Linked DNA regions of Rhinolophus ferrumequinum. The protein of the gene in region 1 binds, or shares a complex with, the protein of each later gene. Links are inferred from orthologs where the notes say so. Each region holds a gene or a part of one and is shown in the gene's direction. Other genes may lie near its edges. The genes, in order: tubulin alpha-1B chain and MATCAP1.

What was found.
Region 2: the proteins of tubulin alpha-1B chain (region 1) and MATCAP1 are in contact, whole or in part, in a cryo-EM structure (PDB 7Z6S), measured with the Homo sapiens proteins. The link is inferred for Rhinolophus ferrumequinum from reciprocal best matches to the Homo sapiens genes TUBA1B and MATCAP1. Residues at the interface, in NP_006073.2 of Homo sapiens: Asp345, Trp346, Arg422, Glu423, Ala426, Ala427, Glu429, Lys430, Asp431, Glu433, Glu434, Val435, Gly436, Val437, Asp438, Ser439, Val440, Glu441; in NP_001035805.1 of Homo sapiens: Lys219, Cys220, Trp223, Val226, Arg227, Gly237, Glu238, Val239, Val240, Val241, Gln242, Leu243, Met253, Met254, Val255, Glu256, Asn257, Ser258, Arg259, Pro260, Thr261.

The regions. Positions count from the first base shown.
Region 1 is NC_046293.1:50,175,514-50,184,979, reverse strand, and holds tubulin alpha-1B chain, read left to right. Parts: upstream 1-4,607; 5' UTR 4,608-4,753; coding exon 4,754-4,756; intron 4,757-6,140; coding exon 6,141-6,363; intron 6,364-6,504; coding exon 6,505-6,653; intron 6,654-6,836; coding exon 6,837-7,817; 3' UTR 7,818-7,900; downstream 7,901-9,466. UniProt on the Homo sapiens protein: Tubulin is the major constituent of microtubules, protein filaments consisting of alpha- and beta-tubulin heterodimers. Microtubules grow by the addition of GTP-tubulin dimers to the microtubule end, where a stabilizing cap forms.
Region 2 is NC_046298.1:16,915,276-16,925,220, reverse strand, and holds the start of MATCAP1 (microtubule-associated tyrosine carboxypeptidase 1), read left to right. Parts: upstream 1-5,552; 5' UTR 5,553-5,930; intron 5,931-6,012; exon of another isoform or gene 6,013-6,545; intron 6,546-8,481; exon of another isoform or gene 8,482-8,484; 5' UTR 8,485-8,537; coding exon 8,538-9,107; intron 9,108-9,188; coding exon 9,189-9,332; intron 9,333-9,610; coding exon 9,611-9,743; intron 9,744-9,945. Other genes in the region: EXOC3L1 (exocyst complex component 3-like protein), read left to right, coding at 594-639, 844-1,019, 1,101-1,320, 1,862-2,474, 2,553-2,670, 2,806-2,931, 3,030-3,130, 3,340-3,450 and 5 more. UniProt on the Homo sapiens protein: Tyrosine carboxypeptidase that removes the C-terminal tyrosine residue of alpha-tubulin, thereby regulating microtubule dynamics and function. Also able to remove the C-terminal phenylalanine residue of alpha-tubulin TUBA8.

The DNA.
Region 1 (9,466 bases):
AGACCTGTTCTTCCTTCAGTATTCCCGTGTTGCTCAGGCCAAAAACCTTGGGGTCATGATTGACTCCTGTCTTTCTCACCTTACATCCAATGAATTAATAAACCCTGTCACCACTACCTTCAAAATATATCCAGAAACCCACCACTTTTTACCACCTCCACCACTGGTCCACCCTGGTCCAAGCAACTATTACCTCTTATCTACATTACTGCAATTCTCTTCCAACTCATATCCAACTCAGTAGTCTTATCTATTACCATTGTTTAATTATCATTAAATCTCAAAGAATCTGAAATCTGTATCTCTTCTCCTCTCTCCACATCTGCATATATAACTGACTAATGGACATCTCTGGATATACCAGGGGTGCCAAAAAAATGTATACACATGACTTGTATTCATTTTATTATCAGTACCGTGTTTCCCAAAAAATATGACCTAGCCAGACAATCAGCTCTAATGTGTCTTTTTTTTTTTTTTTTTTTTTTTTAAAGATTTTATTGGGGAAGGGAAACAGGACTTTATTGGGGAACAGTGTGTGCTTCCAGGACTTTTTTCCAAGTCAAGTTGTCCTTTCAGTCTTAGCTGTGGAGGGCACAGCTCAGCTCCAGGTCCAGATGCTGTTGCTAGTTACAGGGGGCGCAGCCCACCATCCCTTGCCAGAGTCAAACCAGCAACCTTGTGGTTGAGAACCCACTGGCCCATGTGGGAATCGAATAGGCAGCCTTCGGAGTTAGGAGCACGGAGCTCCAACTGCCTGAGCCACTGGGCTGGCCCCTCTACTGCGTCTTTTGGAGCAAAAATTAATATAAGATCCAGTCTTATATTAATTGTTATATTAATTTTTGCTCCAAAAGACGCATTAGAGCTGATTGTTCGGCTAGGTCTTATTTTTAGAGAAACACGGTATATATTGAATATTACAATTTTAATACAGTTTTTTCCTTTCTTAAAATGTGTACATTTTTTTGGTACCCTCTGTATGTACCACAGACACTTAAACTCAAAGTGTGTCAAAAGCTGAACTATTAGCTTCTCCCGTTTCCTTTCTTCAGTTCCCATCCATTTCTTCCTTCAGTATTCTGATCTCAGTAAAAAACACCACCATTTGATCAGTTATTTAAACCAAAAACCTGAAAATTAACCCCCATTCTTCAGTTTCCCTCACACCCCATGTCCAATCAATCACCAAGTTCAACATTCGACAACAAATTACATATTAAGCACCTACTATGTAATAATAAATCTGGAGATAGGTGGTTTTAAGATTCGCTCAGCAGTTTCACAGTGTCATAGCACTAAGTTGGCATTTCTTTTATTCTCTTTACACTAAGACCCTCAAGGTCTTAAGTTGGTTCCAGGCGTCATATCTTCACAGAACATTTCCAAAAGCAAGGAAGAGGAGTGAAATAAAAGGACTTTATACAAGGGTTCACTCTTTTGATCAGGGAGGAAAACCATCCCCAGAAACACCCTAGCAGACTTCCCTTTATGTGACACTGGCCACAAGTGGGTCCAATGATGAAGGAGAATGAGAAAGCAAGTACCTGGCAAAGGGAAACAGGGTTTCCTGGATTTGTCCCCTGAGATTGAGCACATGACTACCCCTTTAAAAAAAAAAAAAAGGCTCTCTTGGCAAAGAAGAATGTAAGAAGGTGGTTTTGGAGGGGCAATTAAGACTGACTTCCACAAAAACAGAATGGAGCTTCATTCTAATTAGGAGAGAATATTAAATAAGTAAATAAATACACAAACAAGGTAATTTCAGATTCTATAAACGCTATGAAATAAGGTGATGTGATAAAAAAAAGTGATGGGCATAGTTTAAAGATAAAACTGATAGAATTTACTAATGGGATTGAATGTGACAGTATGAGAAAAAGATGATTCCAAGCTAATATTGATTCCCATTCATAAAGGAAGCTCAAAAAAGATAATTAGGAGCCTAAAATCATACTGACAAATCATTAACTGACATATCATTAACTGACACAGCTAGAACTGAATCTAGTACTGTCTCAAATCAAAGCCCATTTTCTTTCCCCTATACCATCTATCTGTGGAATAACAGAACACAAAATAGCATATATAAATTTATGATACTGTGATAAAAATAAAAGGCTAAATGTTTGAAAATAGTTGATGCTTGGTAAGTTGTTGCTAATTGTTATTTGTGTCTTTCCTTGTAGAATTGGCTAAATGAACAAAATATTTTGTAAACTTTTGTGTCTAAACCACAATATGGACTGATCAAAAATGTTACTGACTGCTTAGAACAGTAGCAAATGGCCAGATATTAAGTAGCAAAGATGGGAGGGGCTCAAATGGCCACACAGGGTCTCCCAATACATCAAAAGACTCAAAGCAAATAGTTACAGGCCCTGAAACAGTCCAGCAAAAGAAAGACCTATATAATCAGTTAAAATGTTAAGACGTTGTGTAATACTGCATTTATATTCTAGCAATAGATAACTAATATTTAATATAGACAAATATAGACAAAGTGATATATCCGTATGTAACATAAACAAATAGACCCATGAAAGTTTAGTACGGGTAAAAAGGAAAAAAATGTCAGCCTTTTCTCTCCAGTACTAAAAAGGTAGTAAAATTAGTTAACTTACCTAGCATTATTCAACATTTTTCTGGCATAAAGATACCAGACTATATTTAAAGGTCCCTTTGGCTCTGTTACTCTCTGAAATCTGAAGTAACATCAGGGACCTACCAAAAAAAAAAAAAAAAACCCTCACTTGCTTCCGCATTCACAACAGAGGAATTCACAGATAACAAGGCTAGCAAAAGCTAATGGTTTTAGGAGGGTATCTGGGGAGACATATAGGCCCTCAGGAGCAAATCTCTGCAGTGAAAGCGCTAAGGTCCTGCAGAGGGCTAGGAGGAGGGAGGTGCCTGCTTCCAAATGGCTTTCATCCAGAGCAGTCAGCAAAATGGAGTTCAACTGGGTGGTTCCCTAACATTCATTCTTCCCGTTAAGGCAAGCTAATGACAAGCATTCCTTAGAGATACTGCAGTATCTCTTCTTGCCAGTGAAGAGTACTGCCTTTAATTTGTTAAAAAAATGCAGTATCTGTAAAGCACAATAAAGCAAAGCACAATAAAATGTATGCTTGTATTTCCATCTCCTTTTAAGAATGAGAGAAATAATTTTTAAAAACTAATACGTGAGACAACCTGAAACTAATAGGATATTGTATGTCAAGAATAAGTGAGACATTATTCAAATATATTGCTGTCCCCTATAACCCAGTTTGGGAAATGTGTGCAAATTTGGGTTCTGAGTCAAAAACCTTTTAACAGGACTACAAAAAAAAAATATTTATTAGAAATAAATAAGACCCTCCTTGTTTGCATTCAAGGTTCATATGAATCTGAGTGGAGAAAAAAAATTTATACACACACACACATTCTTACAAACCACACACACATATTAACAGTGTAAATTTATTTCTCTGATATGAAGAATGAAGACTTTACCAAATCTGAATATGAAGTATGAAATTTTATTCTTATGTTTACCTTTTTTGTTACTAACACACTATCACGGGGGGGGGGGGCATTTTGAATAGTTAAAAACAGTAATAAGTTTCTGTTAGAGCCACACTTTAACCTTAAACTAACCTCCTTATGTATTTCCAAGGGTTAGAAATGTAGTTTATGGTCTTGGAATAAATTTTCCTGAAAGGGGAGGGAAAAAAGTCTCTTCACTATAATCTGGGCCTCCTAGCAATAAGTTATAACCAACTGATCTATTTTAACATAACAGAAAGTAATTATTAAATAAAGTTTTACAAAACCCAAGGAACCCCTACTTCCTAATATCTTTCTGTGTCAATTTCATTATTAGCCAAGTTTCTGTCTTCACTTCTACAATTCTGCTACCAAATTTGAAATGTGTCTTTAAATCTCCTTTTTAAAAGCCCCCTAGGGTTGTACCATAAAGGCGGTGGTTGAGGTCTAAAAATGGGGCTCCTTTAACAGTTTGGATGTTCAGTGCTTAGTTAATACTCTTTTTATGACTGTTTTTTGCTTCCAACGTTTGGTAACTTTAATTCAAAGAACAAGTCATTACAGTAAACCAAATAAAACTATCCTGTTTTCTAAACCCCGCATCCTCCGCATTATCATGGAAGAACAGAACGCACTGCCTTTAAAGGAGCTGAGAAAAGGAAAAGGCAAAACTCACTGACAAATTGTGCCAGCATGAAAATAATCAGCTGAGCTATCCGGACCACACGTTTCTGCATTTCATCGTGCTTCCTATTTAAAATTGTATAGACTCCTTAAGTCATAGGTTTCGTCCAAACTAAGCCTCCTCTCCCATTCCCAGGATGGTTTGTTTCCGAACGCGCCCCCATCCCACCCCACCCCACCCCACCCCACCCCTCCCCTCCGAGGCCCCAGCAGCCATGCGCCGCAGACTGCAGCACCAGAGCTCGCGGCCCGCAGGCGCGGAGGCCCCCGCCCCTCAGGGCCGGCACGGGGAGGGGACCCCCGCTTTGGAGCCCGCCTCTGCGGCGGCGGAGCCCGGCACCGAATGGGCGCGCTGGGCCGGGGGTGGGGCCAGTGGCCTTGGCACCGCCTGTGCCTGTCCGCCCCACCCCGGACCGCTACTTAAGTAGCTCGGGCACCTCCCCCGCCTCAGTGCGTTACTTACCTCGACTCTTAGCTTGTCGGGGACAGTAACCGGTATCCGGTGTCTACTCCTGTTACCTGCGCCTGCTAACCCGTAGACATGGTGAGTGGGCCGCGCGCGGCGTCGCCGTCGCTCGGGAAGTCGGGGAAAAGCAAGCCAAGGGATCTCGGAGGTCCTTTAACTATAGAGAACTGGGACCAGCGCTGTCCATTTGGAAGGCAAAAAGCAAGGGGAGAGGCGAGGGTGGGAGTAGATCGAGCCCGTTTTGTGGAGAACGGCGGAAGGAGGTGGATCGCCACCTTTTCTTGGACTCTGGGAGGGGATTGCGGGGCGCTGGCTCCCTCCACCGTGGTTAGGGCTCTTATTTAGCCCTTAACTCGAGGGCGCAGCGACCCAACCCTGCAGTCTTCCCGCGCGTTCTCATCCCCTTTTTCTTACCCCCCCCACCCCCGCCTTAGGCGGTCGCGCGCGCGGGCTCTCCCCGCCCTCACTTCCTCCTGGGCGCGAAAAGCGGAGGCGGGAAGGAGCCTGACACAAAAGCGCACGCGCAACAGTTACCGTCCCGCCGGGGAGTGGCGGGAGGCCGCCACTGCAATCTGCGCGTGCGCGCTGCGGCGCTGCGGGTCTATAGCTGGAGGGCGTGTCTCCTCTTACCCTGAGTTTTCGTTTTTTAAAATGAAAGCAATAAGATAAATGTAGAGAAAGGCTCTTTCTCTGTGTGCTGCACTATGCCAGTATATTGGGACAGTTAGCTCCCAACAGCCCGTAGAGGCCATCTGCCTGCCCCTCGATGGCCTCTTTGCTGCGTTAGGAATGTGTGTGTGGGAACAGGTGGTGGCGATGAGGGATTTTTGAGAGAATGTAAATCCGATCATGGTCCACATCTGGACCGAAGATAATCCCTTGCTGTGTGTCTTGACAGATGTGGAGGTGCTGGGCTGAGCCCAACGCCTGGGGGAAGCTGAGGATGGTTGGCCTTCGCTGGCTGACGTGGCTGTTTCGTGCCTCTTCAACTGCGCGGCTCCGCTGGCCTGCTGGCCTCAGGGTTGGAGCGCGCACCCTGAATTGCTCATTCATCCTGTGCCGCAGAGCCCCTCCCCTCGTCACTGGGGCCAGACATTTCCTCTGCACTGCTCTGGCCACGTGCTTCCTGTGCTGGAACCTGCCCGGAAATCTGGCCACCTAGTCCAAAATGGGATTTTGCGGCCTAAGCGCGAGATGGATGGCCTCTCTATCTTGGTCCTTCAAAGAAAGAAGCTGTGACTAAGGTCTCTTCTTGGTTTCGGAAGAGGCCTTCCCAATTTAGATGAGGAAAAGAAATTCATTAAAAGCAAAGTACAGTGGTTCTCCTTTAGGAAAAAAGTTACATTTTAATTCATTTTAAAAAAGAACATTTGTAAGGTTAAGATTCCATGAGTATTTTGTTCTGCTTTATAGTCACTGCTAGATTTGTTTAATCCTGATTTTTTTTCTCTTTTTTCCACAGCGTGAGTGCATCTCCATCCACGTTGGCCAGGCTGGTGTCCAGATCGGCAATGCCTGCTGGGAGCTCTACTGCCTGGAACATGGCATCCAGCCCGATGGCCAGATGCCAAGTGACAAGACCATTGGAGGAGGAGATGACTCCTTCAACACCTTCTTCAGTGAGACAGGCGCTGGCAAGCACGTGCCCAGGGCAGTGTTTGTAGACCTGGAACCCACGGTCATTGGTGAGTTGACCTCCGTAACCCAAGTGAGATCCCAGGGGTCTGGGACAGGATGTGTGTCCTGGGGGCTCTGTGGATGCCCTGGGGTTGGGCAGCTTGTGCGGGTTGTTAGTGATGGGTGGCCGCTTTGTTTCCCTTTCCCAGATGAAGTTCGCACTGGCACCTACCGCCAGCTCTTCCACCCCGAGCAGCTCATCACAGGCAAGGAAGATGCTGCCAATAACTACGCGCGGGGGCACTACACCATTGGCAAGGAGATCATTGACCTCGTCTTGGACCGGATTCGGAAGCTGGTGAGTACCAGTTTGAAATATACTTCAAATGGGGTGAGGTGATTCATTGCAAGTTTAGTGAAGAGACCAAACTATAGCATTCCTTCTTTGGTGCATGCCCAAATGTGAGATACACTGCTCACTGTATTAATTGAAAAGTATCCGATGTTGAAGAATTACGTTTTCTTTTTACTTCCTTCACAGGCCGACCAGTGCACAGGTCTTCAGGGCTTCCTGGTTTTCCACAGCTTTGGTGGGGGAACTGGTTCTGGGTTCACCTCCCTGCTGATGGAACGTCTCTCTGTCGATTATGGCAAGAAATCCAAGCTGGAGTTCTCCATTTACCCAGCCCCCCAGGTTTCCACAGCCGTAGTTGAGCCCTACAACTCCATCCTCACCACCCACACCACCCTGGAGCACTCTGATTGTGCCTTCATGGTTGACAATGAGGCCATCTATGACATCTGTCGTAGAAACCTCGATATTGAGCGCCCAACCTACACTAACCTTAACCGCCTTATTAGCCAGATTGTGTCCTCCATCACTGCTTCCCTCAGATTTGATGGAGCCCTGAATGTTGACCTGACTGAATTCCAGACCAACCTGGTGCCCTATCCCCGCATCCACTTCCCTCTGGCCACATATGCCCCTGTCATCTCTGCTGAGAAAGCCTACCACGAGCAACTTTCTGTAGCAGAGATCACCAATGCGTGCTTTGAGCCAGCCAACCAGATGGTGAAATGTGACCCTCGCCACGGTAAATACATGGCTTGCTGCCTGTTGTACCGTGGTGACGTGGTTCCCAAAGATGTCAATGCCGCCATTGCCACCATCAAGACCAAGCGCAGCATCCAGTTTGTGGACTGGTGTCCCACTGGCTTCAAAGTTGGCATTAATTACCAGCCTCCCACTGTGGTACCTGGTGGAGACCTGGCCAAAGTACAGCGAGCTGTGTGCATGCTGAGCAACACCACAGCTATCGCTGAGGCCTGGGCCCGCCTGGACCACAAGTTTGACCTGATGTATGCCAAGCGTGCCTTTGTTCACTGGTATGTGGGTGAGGGTATGGAGGAAGGAGAGTTTTCTGAGGCCCGTGAGGACATGGCTGCCCTTGAGAAGGATTATGAGGAGGTTGGTGTGGATTCTGTTGAAGGAGAGGGTGAGGAAGAAGGAGAGGAATACTAGTTACCATTCCTTGCATCCCTGCAACATGTCATACTCGGAACTTTAGCTTCAAACTGACAGGCGTTAAAGCTTTCTCAATAGATTGTCTGCTTTTACCTGTGATCATGTGTGTCTTTTTAATGTGTATCTACAAGATTTTTTCCCTCATGTCTCGAAGTAAAGGCATTGAGAAAAAAAGTGACTTTGTACTTTTTCTAAATTGACTTCTCTACACTTGGAGGATAAGAGACTATAACAGGGTGTTCAGCAAGGATCCCACTTCTGTTCAGCTACTTCTGGAGAACAAGGGAGCACACACTCATCTCTAAAAGCAGGAGAGCTGGATTCTGACACATCTGTTAATGTCGACTCTGTCAGTGTTAGAATCCAGGTCATAGGGGACTTGGGAAAATGATGTACTGAAAGTGGTTCTGCTAATCTAGGTCTTTAGGTTATTGGGTAGTTAATTAGGAATAAGGACAGGCATAGCTTGTTTTATTGCACTTCACAGATGTGTTTTTTACATATTGAAAGCAAGACTCCACTACCAAAAGATTACAACTTTATTGGAATACTCTATTGTATTCTAGAACCAGATGCCCAGTATCTCCACGGTACGCCTGTAAGTCGATTTGACTCTCTTGCAAACATGACTGTCAAAAAGCCATGTGCATTTGTGGAAGAATACTGCTTTTACAAGGGGATAAAGTGAACATTGTAAAGGTTAAGATGAAAGTATATAGCACTTGGCATAGCTTACCTTCTTTCAAGTATGTAGTTTGGCTATATCTAAAAGAATGTAGAGAGAGACAAATGGGTTTAACTTATGGGAAAATACATTTCCAATTCAGAAAGCATTAAGGATAGTTAAGGTTTGTTGAACATATTGATGTCTTGTGGTTTAAAAGTAGGGAAGAGCAAAATTTTCCCAGGTTTTCTCCTAGCCCATAAATACTATACACAGAGGGTGCCAAAAAAATTATATACACATTTTTAAGAAAGGAAAGAATTATACTGATAAAAGATGAATGCAAGTCCATGTTTGACTTATGTAATTACAAGAGGTGCTCAAAGTGGTCACCATCAGCGTCCAGACACTTCTGATTACAGCAAACTGCTTGAGCAATGTTGACCAAAGTGTCCACTTGTGTACATTTGTTTGGCACTCCTGGTATTTACAAAACAGTTCTTGGCTCCTGAAAGGAAATCGCATTTGGCAAGACATTTGGGAAAAAGCTCTGTTGTGTGGCACCATAGGCCTAGCATAGCAACACAAATGTAGCCAACATACTTGTAGCCCCAGAGGAAAGCCAATGCCAGGGCTTTAAAACAATTAGTAACCAAATAGGAATTCGACTTTTGAGTTAGTGTCCAACTCAGGGAAGACGAGTGAGGCCTGAAGACCCTCTAAAATATCCCTGTGTTCTTTCCACAAAACAAGGGAAGGGTAAGTAGGCCAGAGCCTGGGAAGCAGCAAACCAATGCAGAGAAGAGCTTGCTTTTTAGGCAAGCAATATTCTGTGGAGGGTGTCATGATGCTTTTTTAAAGTTCTGAGGCACAAGGCAGGAACAGGATTAAGAAGCCAGGGTTTCAACTGTAGCTAATGTTTTATTTTTGTGGTAGTGGCCGTTGGGGGGGGATATCGTTTAGTTTTGTTTTTAAGAAAAGA
Region 2 (9,945 bases), on another chromosome or scaffold:
GCTCTTTCCTGTTGGGAATAAAATGCCAGAGTTTCAGTTTCCTTCCTTTCTCTACGTGGCCTTGGGGCGGGAGGGAGCTTGGAGGGAGGAAGGGGCGCCTGGGCAGGGAGGTAGGACACAGGCTTCCTTGGGAAGAGGAATTCTGCTGTGTGCTGAGGTGTGGGCCAGGGCCACCCAGGCCCTCTGAGCTAGTGGAGGGAGTGTCCAGCTCTGCTGTGAGGGCAGCGGGGAGAGGGCCATCTCAAGGCCAAGGCTGTGTGAGGAGGGCGGAGGACTGGATGCCTGGTTGGGCCTGGTGAGTTCCATACCAGACTGTCCTCTGCCACTCAGCAGGGGAGGTCTGTGCCTACCCTGCCTCACTTGGCATCTGCACAGGGCAAAACTAAGAAACCCAGCAGGGGAAGGCTTCCCGGGTATCTGTCCGTCATACCACCTCCCTTGCATTTCTGGAGGGGGCTGGACAAGAACCTCCCTCTTCCTCCTTGGAGGGGCCTAGGGAGAACCTGCATCTCAAAGGAGCATCCACTCTGCCTGCTCTAACCCACATTCTTGCCCCGACTCCCACCTCAGCTCCAGCTCCTGCGGGGCCTGCCATGGACTCAACAACCAAGAACGAAATGCAGCCTGCACTTCTCCCTGGTATGAGACCTTCCGGGTGGGTTGGGAGAGGGATGTGGCAAGAAAGAGGGGAATGGTGGGGTTGGGTCCTTGCCAAGTCTGGCTGGAGCTCTATGGGTCAGTGAGATGAGTGGACCACCCTGGGGGCCAGACTAAAGAGCAGGAAGGGGAGCAGGTTCGGCAGCTGCTTCCTTCAGGCCCTGCCCAACTGACATGGCTGCCCAGGCTCTTCCTGCCCAGGGCCTGAGTGGCCGGAGCAGGAGAGGGCGGAGCGGCTAGCCCGGGGTGCAGCACTCAAGTGGGCCTCAGGCATTTTCTACCGGCCGGAGCAGCTGGCCAGATTGGGCCAGTACCGCAGCCGTGAGGTGCAGCGTACCTGCTCCCTGGAAGCACGCATGAAGGTGGGCATCAGGCAGGGGGCAAGAGTGCTGGGGGTGGGCGGCAGGGCTGGCCAGGCCTCATTGGCTGCCTCCCTCCCACAGTCAGTGGTGCAGTCATACCTGGAGGGTGTGAAGACTGGTGTGTGGCAGCTGGCCCAGGGCCTTGAGGCCATGCAGGAAGCCCGTGAGGCCCTGGGCCAGGCCCATGGGTTGCTCCGGGGCATGGTCGAGACTGTACAGGCACTAGAGCCCCTGCGGGAGCAGGTCAGCCAGCACAAACAACTGCAGGCCCTGTCTCAGCTGCTGCCCCGGCTGCAGGCAGGTGAGTATGCAGGGGCCCTGGGCCTCAACCATCCAATAGTCAGTCAACACCCATCAAGGGGCTGGGACACTAGTGGGAGATTGCGTGGCGGGCCACACCAGGAACCTCCCAGAAAGTAACTCAGGCTTCAGATGGCATATGAAGCAGGGTGCAAATTAGCTCATTCTGGTGTTCCTGAGCATGGGATGTCTGAGTCAGAAAGGACACCCAGTCAAGTGGCTCTGGCCATCCTTGTTGTTAAATTGAAATATTTCCCTAACAGAGTGGGTGAATAGCCATTAGAATGATCCTCCAGTTCTTCTCTGCCTTCTTTCCAGGATCCCTGACTTCCTCATGTTCCTTTAGCTCAAGGGTTTACCCCTGGCCCACCAGGCCTCTAGGACCTTCCGTGGATCCTTTCAGATTGGCTAATGCTCTACTATACTGGTTATTAAATATTTTACACATGATCCCAGCCCCAGGACCTCCGCATCTGATCCTGTATCCATTGCACAGGTGGGAAGGCTGAGACCCAGGGCGGTCTCCTCTTTTCCCTCCTTAGTGCCAGCTGCAGTGGCCCACACACAGTCCTTGATTGATGCCCAACGGCTCTTGGAGGCATATGTGAGCCTTCGGGAGCTTGAGCAGCTGCAAGAGGAGACATGGGCATCTCTGGGGCACCTGGAGTTGCCAATCTTCGAGGGGTTGGGCCCTCTGTCGGAGGCACTGGGCCAGGCTGTGGAGGCGGCTGTAGGGGCCGCAGGACAGCTGGCACGGGAGGACCCAGCCCTGCTGGTGGCTGCTGTGCGTGTGGCGGAGGTGGAGACGGGCCGCACAACCTCCCTGGAGCAAGCCCCCCGGGACTGGCGGCAGCGCTGTCTGCGGGCACTACAGGAGGGCCTGGAGCAGGTCCACTTTGGGACACATCTGCTGCCTGGGCCAGGGGCCCTAGCAGGGTGGCTGGAGGCTCTGCGGGTGGCTCTACCAGCCGAGTTGGCCAGAGCTGAGGCACTAATAGCACCCTGCTGCCCACCGCACTACAGGGTGGTCCAGCTATGGGCCCACACCCTGCATAGTGGCCTGCGCCGCTGCCTACAGCAATTCCTGGAAGGGCCTGAGCTGGGAGCTGCTGATGCCTTCACCTTACTGCACTGGGCACTACATGTGTACCTGGGGTCAGTGCGCTTTGGGCAATGGGAAGTGGGTGGATCGGAAGCTGCAGGCTCAGTGTGACACTGGCCACCTATCACCAGGCCAGAAATGATGGGGAGCCTGGACTTGGGGCCTGAGGCTGACGTGTCTCAGCTGGAGCCCCTCCTGACCCTGGAGAATATTGAGCAGCTTGAGGCAACATTTGTGTCCAAAGTCCAGGTGAGTAGTTGGGGCCCAGGTCCAGAGAAGCTCTGCTACCAGTTGTGTGCCTGTATTTGCAAAGTCACATGTCTAACTGTCTCTAGCAGGGTCAGTGCCCTGCTATATCCTGCTGCCCCTCATCCCTTCCCCCAGGCAAATGTGGTGCAGTGGCTGCAGAAAGCACTGGATGGGGAAGTAGCTGAGTGGGGCCGGGAGCAGGAGCCTGACACAGACCCATCTGGCTTTTACCACTCACCAATGCCAGCCATCGTGCTTCAGGTGAGTGGGAAGTGGCGGGCAGGTGGGCAGCTCCCATAGGGAAAGGGGAGGAGGGCAGGACTAGGACTCTGCTAATGGCTGCCCATTCCTGCCTGTAGATCCTGGAAGAGAACATTCGAGTAAGCAGCCTGGTCAGTGAGTCACTGCAGCGGCGGGTGCATGGCATGGCACTGTCAGAACTGGGAGCATTCCTGAGAAGGTCTGCCAAGGCACTGATCCATTCCCAACACCTGGTCTTGCTCCTGGGGCAGCCCAAAGGGGCTCCGAGTGAATAAGGCCCGCCAGTGGGAAAAGGCTCCTTCAAACAGGGCCTTGAGTATCTTGGAGGTGGGGCTAGAGTACCCGGAACAGAGGTTGTTGGGGCGCCAGAATGACAGCAGGTACAAAAGCCACCTCTGCCCTTTGCAGCTTCAGTGATGCCCTGATTCGATTCTCCCGAGACCACCTCAGAGGGGAAGCAATGGCCCCTCATTACGTGTCCTACCTACTGGCTGCCCTCAACCACCAATCAGCACTCAGGTACCAGAAGTCTCCCACAGAATGCCACCTTCACTAACCCCTGACTGAATATCTATTAGGTACCTATCCAGCCACACTGGGCCATTAGGAACTTTGGACTCACATAGCTCTGGGGTTCCAATCCCAGTTCTACTAATTACTAGCTGTGTGACGTTGGGCGAGTTACCAAATCTCTCTGAATGTCACTTTTCTTATTAGTATTATATTATATTATATTATATTATATTATATTATATTATATTATATTATATGGGTAAGAATCACATGCAATAACAGATGTAAAGTACCTACCACAATACAATGCCTGGCACATAGTCTCAAGCATTCATTTATTAACATATTAACATATACTTACCAGCTCCTACTCTGTGCCAGATAATGTCTGGGGTTACAGCAGTGAACAAAACAGAAAAAAAATCCCTTCCTCGTGGGTCTTACGTTCTTTGGGATGGGGGCAGAGAGAGCAGACAAACAAGTTGCTAATTTTTACTCCCTCCTGACTGGGATAAACTCTCTCCCCTTACGGAGGAGTCAACAGAAACTGAAAGACATGACTTGCTCAAGGTCACACCACGAATTAGAGGCTGGGCCGTCTGGGTTGTGTCCCTGCCAGCTCACTGAGCCTACCACTCCATGCTTTAGTCGACACCCCAGACCTTCAGAAAGCGCGGGGAACCGCCCTTCTTGCCCCCTCCCTCCACAAACTTGCGCCACTAGGTGGCGCCCGAGCGGCTGGACAACGAAGGTCCGTTAGGGCCTTGGCCTTGGTCCTGAAGCCGTACTTTTGGTTGGTCCAGCTCCTCCGTGTCGGTCTTGCAGCCCGACGGGGTGGCTTTAGGAGCCTTGGCTCCGGTGGAGGCAGCGCTGGAGGAGTTGCAGAGGAGGATATGTCGCCTGGTGTTGGAGGCACTGCTGGTGGAGCTACAGGTGAGGTTCCAGGTGGGGTGGGAGGAGATACAGCGTATGTACGGAGGTCTCTACGTGGAATACGGGATCTGCATCGGCCTTCCAGTCCCGCCTCTGTCCCCATCCCCTAGCCCCTGTTCATGGCTCTGCCCTCGCGCCAATGGCTGTCGAGCCCGGAGCTGCTGGATGATGTGTGCGAGAGGACGGCGCGCTTCTGCCGGGATTTTTGGCGTGTGCGGAATCCCGCTGTCCAGGTGCGACTTGGGGTAAGGAGGGTGAGGGGGGAGATCCAATGGGAAAGGGGTCCAGGACCCACCTGATTGCCCTCCCCGCAGCTGCTGCTGGCCGAGGCTGAGCGTACCGTGGTGCTGCAGTACCTGTGTGCGCTAATGCAGGGCCGCCTGGTGTGCCGTGGTGCCGATGAGCGGAACCAGGCTGCCGAGCGCCTGCAGCACGATGCCATGCAGCTCCGAGATCTCTTCCTCGATTTGGTGAGAGCTTGTTGGGCGAACAGATGGGTGGGAATCTCTGTGGTTGGGTGGGAATCTCAGTGGTTGGGTCGGAGCCGAGGGCCCGCACGAGACCTACCCCGACGTGTTCAGGGCCTGGAGGAAAGCTTTCAATGTGCGCCGGTGCTACTCACTCTGCGAAAGCTGCTGAATCTCCGCGATCCCACGATGCTTGGCTTGGAGGTGGCAGGCCTGCGGCAACAATTTCCTGACGTGAGGTGCGAAGACGGGCGCGAGAGGGGAGGAGGGAACTGGGAGGGACGGGGAGGGGCTGGGCGGGCCTGACGCATCTCTGTGGTGCCCCGTAGTGAGGATCACGTCTCCGCCCTCTTGGACCTGCGCGGGGACGTGTCCCGAGAGCAGCGCCTAGCTGCACTCAGCTCCCTGCAGGCCGGCCCGCAGCCATCGCCTCCCGCGGGTCGCCGCGCTCTCTTCAGCCTCGTGCCAGCACCTACACCTGCTCCGTCCTCCTGCCTTCCTTCGGGGCCCTGTGCCTGACTCCCGACTGCCAGCAGAATAAAGCCACGGCCCCTGTACGCGTGAATTGTGTGTGCTGGGGAAGGGAGGAAGTTGAAATAAGTGTCCGTGAAGATTAGGGGGGGGTCCACACGCAGTGACACGCCTAAGGTATCCTGGCTTCAGTCCTGGTATACCCGCTGTACACCACCTATCCCAGCATCAGTGCCCGGGCTTCTGCCACCGTACGCAGACTATATCCCCACGTATCCGTCCCGGGGCAGTGAGTTCGTCTCCCTGGCCCTGATTCCGAGGCCGGGTACCAAATGAAGCCCTGAAACCAGCCTGGACCTCTTGAAGAGGGCGGGCTCAAGACAACGCCCAGCCCATGGACGTGACCTAGTGGCGGACACCGTCTCTCTGCCTTGCCTGGCCCCACCCCCTGCTGTGTTCTCGGGCGCGCGCCGCAGCGGAGATTGACGCGAATCCGCGCGCTGAGCGTGCGCGCGCCCGAGTGCGTGCGTCCCCGGCGAGAACTCCCGCGGGCCGGGAGGCCGGCGACCGGTGTTTCAGAGGGGGAACGGCGTCGGCGAAAAGAGCAGCGAACAGGTGGGGGTGCGGCACGGAACCCTTTCATCCCCTAGAGGCCGAAAAGGCGCGCGACGCGACCACGCCTTACCTACCAGGGAATTCCCCCTCCATTGTCCTCTGGCCCCGCCCTCCATTCGGCACGCCCTTTGCCTCATCCCCCTCTGTTTATTGGCTGTAGGTGACGCCCCTCTTCGATATACCCATCCCCATTGGCTCCTCTTTCACGTTATCCTCTCCCGGAGTTTCCTATTGGCGCAGGCCACACCCTCTTATTTGTCACCAGACTCCGCCTTCAGTCTGGGTTCCTCCCCCAGCCATCTTTCATTCATTCTGCATCTAGTGCTGGATGTTTGAGACGATGGGGTGAATCAGACCCGTCCCTGCCCTCAGGGAGTTCAGGAGATGGTGGGGGGGACACGGACCTAGGCTATGAAAATGACAGCCTTGGGCGGTATAGAGGCCGCCTAGGCACTGGGAGCCTCTAAGACGCCTGGAAGGCTTCCCGGAGGAGGTGAGGCCTAAACCAAGCCCTGAAAATGGTTAGGTTTGCTCCAGGGAGACATTGGGAGGGCATTCTTGGCAGAAGGACCTGAGACATGAAAGAAACAGGCGTAGTCTGATAATTATGAAGAGGTAGGTGAAAGAAAAGGAGGAAAGATGAAGGGGGCTGGTCCAGTTAGAGGCCAGGAGACCCTGGAGGAGTCCAGGAAAATGTGTAGTTAGTTGAGGGGAGTGCAGCCTGAGGCCTGAAATCTTTTCAGTCAGCTGGTCCCTAGGCGGGTAGAAGGAAGTGTGTGGGGGGGTCAGATCTGGATGGGGAAACAAAGTGCAAGGAAGGAATGATTCCAATTTTGAGAAGCAGAAGGGCTCTTGAGCAACTGCTTTGGGTCAGGTACTATTCTGGGTTCTGGAAACACAGTGAACACTCAAGGAAACAGCAGATAACTAACAAATATACTGTACTTCAGATGGTGACAACTGCTACAGAGAACAATACTGTGGGGAAGGGGAGATTGCGGTGTAGAGGAGAGAGGAGGTTTACTATTTTATAGAGAGTGTTTGTTGTTAGGGAGGCTTTTCTAATATTTGTGCAGAAATCAGAAGAAAGTGAGAGTGACTCCTGCAATTATATGGAGGGAAAACATTTCAGACAGAGGATGTGTTCAGTTTGACACGCCTGTTATACATTCCAGTAAAGATGTTGAATTGAGAACTGGCAACACTGGTCTGAAGTTTATGGAAGATGTCTGGGCTGATGATTTTAAAACCTTGAGAATGGATGAGATCACCCAAGGAGTGAGCATAAATGGAAAAGGGGAGAGAAGTTTCCATAGAAGTTTCCAGGTCCTGGGGCATTACAGTGTTAAGAGGTCAGGAAGACAGGGATGACCAGCAAGGAAGAGCAAGAACAAACAGCCAGTGAGGTAGGAGATTTGGGGAGCCAAGTGGATGAAGCGATTAACTGTGTCAAGTGCATGAAGATCATTGATGACCTTGGTCAGATCAGTTTCAATAGAGATGGGGCGGGGGGGAAAGCCTAACTGGAGTGAAATTTAAGAGAGAACAGGAAAGAAAGAAATGAACAATGAGCATAGATGACTCTTGACATGTGCTGCAGTAAGGAGCAGCTAGAGGGGGTGGTGCTATTGCTGGAGGAGTGTGGGGTCAAGGGAGGGTTTTGTTTTTGTTTTTTTTAAGAGAGAAATGACAGCATGTGTTTATGCTGATGGAAAGAATAAACTGCTGGAAAGAATCCAGCAGAGAGGAAGAGTTTGATGATGTAGGAGATATAGGGGAGAGGAGAAATGCTGGAATTGTGTCCCTGAGCAGGCAAGGGAGTTCAGAGCCTGGAGCCTTCAGTCAGTCTCTGGAGAGAGACTGGATTGGACTGAGCCCTGGTACAGAGTCAGGGATGAGTGCCCCGACCAACTAGGAAGATGCTTCTGATAGGAGACAGACCAGGGATTGGCTTGGATTTGCTGAAGTTTCCATCTGCCCCACAAAAGCTGATTCTAAATTGGATTTGAACAGATAGCCCAGTGGAGAGAAAGCATTCCAGCTGGAGGGACTAACATAAGCAAGGGGTATGCAGGCATTCAAACTGACTGGCGCCAAATGGTCTGGAGGAGGTGGATGGAACCAGGTGGGAGGGAAGGGGTAGAAATGAAAAATGCCATAGGTGGAAGGCAGGTAGAAGGTAGTGAGGCTCCCCTCACCCATCAACCCAGCAGCTGAGGCTATATTGTGCTAGCTTCCAACCCGGGTGAGTGCTGAACACAGTGATTAGAATCATGAGTATGGACTCAGGCCTTGCTATCAGGACCTCACAGGCTAAAGGGTATTCCTGGAACCACCATCTAGGTGCATGTATAAGATTCTTCCTCCTGCTTTTTCCCAGTCCAGCTTGCTTTGGTGAGCCTGCTGGAGGGAATGGACACTGGGGTGGGGTTGAGAGGGCAGGCACCCAGACTCCTGGGGACCCAGCAAGGGCAGTGTGGAGCACAGGGCCTGCTGGTCCTCAGGCCACACCCACTCATGCTGTCCTCCACATGCCCTTCTGTGTCCCCAGAAGACGACAGTGTGGGGAGTTGGAGTGACCAGGCTGGATGTGATCCCCAGGACAGAATGGTGCTGGACTCAGGGGCTCAGGTGTATGAGCAGGCACCCCCCAGCCCACCAGCCAGTCCCTCATCCTTGGGCCGTAGGCTGAAGCCCTCAGACCGAGATGGGACACCGCTGTACCCCTGGCCTCGGTCCCTGGCCTTGCCCCTGGCTCTGTCAGTCTCCTCAGCCCTGCAGCCCCGGCCTGAGCGGCAGTCCTTCCCAGAGCTGCGGTTGGGCCGCCGTGGCCACATGCGTCGCAGTGAGAGCACCTGCACCGTCAATAGTACTGGTCGGCGGGGGGGCAGCACCCAGGGTCGGGCCCTACCTGGACGAGGACGGGATCCAGGTGGGAGCACCCTGCGGTCTGCAGCCTCCCTGCCTCACATAGCTAAGACTCAAAAGGAGGTAGGCCGTGGTGCCAGCAGGAGCCCCTGCCTGTTGGTGGCCCTGCGGCCAACCAACATGGACCATGAGCGGAAAAAGTTCTTCCAGTCCCATTACACCTACAACCCACAGTTCGAGTACCAGGAGCCGATGCCTACAGCTGTGCTGGAGAAGTACTGTGAGGCCTCTGGACAGTTCATCCATCAGGTCAGTCAGCCTGCCCACCTTACCCTGGCCCTGACCACCCACGAGGCCTCGCCTGACCAGCCACTGCGGCCCTATGTGCAGGCAGTTGGCATCATTGAAGCTGTCCTGGAGAAGTTTGGCACCTACGAACACTTTGAGGCTGCTACCGGGGGCCAGCTACTGACCAAGTGCCAGATCTGGTCCATTGTGCGCAAATACATGCAGAAGGAGGGCTGCGTTGGGGAGGTGAGCTTGCCCTGCCTGCAAGGCCCCTCTTCTACACGCCCCAAACTAGACTGCCCAGTGGGTGGTGCCAGGCCCAGCTCCATACCTCGCCAGCTAATGACCCCTGGCAAGCCCCTGTCCCTACCCCAATAAGGTGGGAGCTGGCTCTGAGCAGAGATGGTAAAGGGTGGGTAGCCTGGCCAAGTGTCCAGCCTGGTGTCACTGTGGCATTAGTGGGTCCACCTGCACACTGGCCCAGGGTTGGTAGCCATGGCTCAGGACACTGCTGCTGTCTACAGGTTGTGGTGCAGCTGAGTGAAGACCTGCTGTCCCAGGCAGTGATGATGGTGGAGAATAGCCGACCAACACTGGCCATCAACCTGACTGGAGCCCGCCAGTATTGGCTGGAGGGCATGCTGCGGCACGAGATAGGTCAGGGTGTGGGTAGGTGGGTGGGTGGGTAAGGATGAGAGGGGACTGGGATGGGGGAGGCAGTGAGGGGCCCCAGTAACTCCACCCCCCGTCTTTCTCCCCTTTCCCTTCGAGGATGGGCCCTTTCCCTTTGTGAGCAGTCACCTCTTCCCTCTGGCTCACAGAGGGAGGCCCAAACAACCCTGCCCACTCTCTGGGCTCA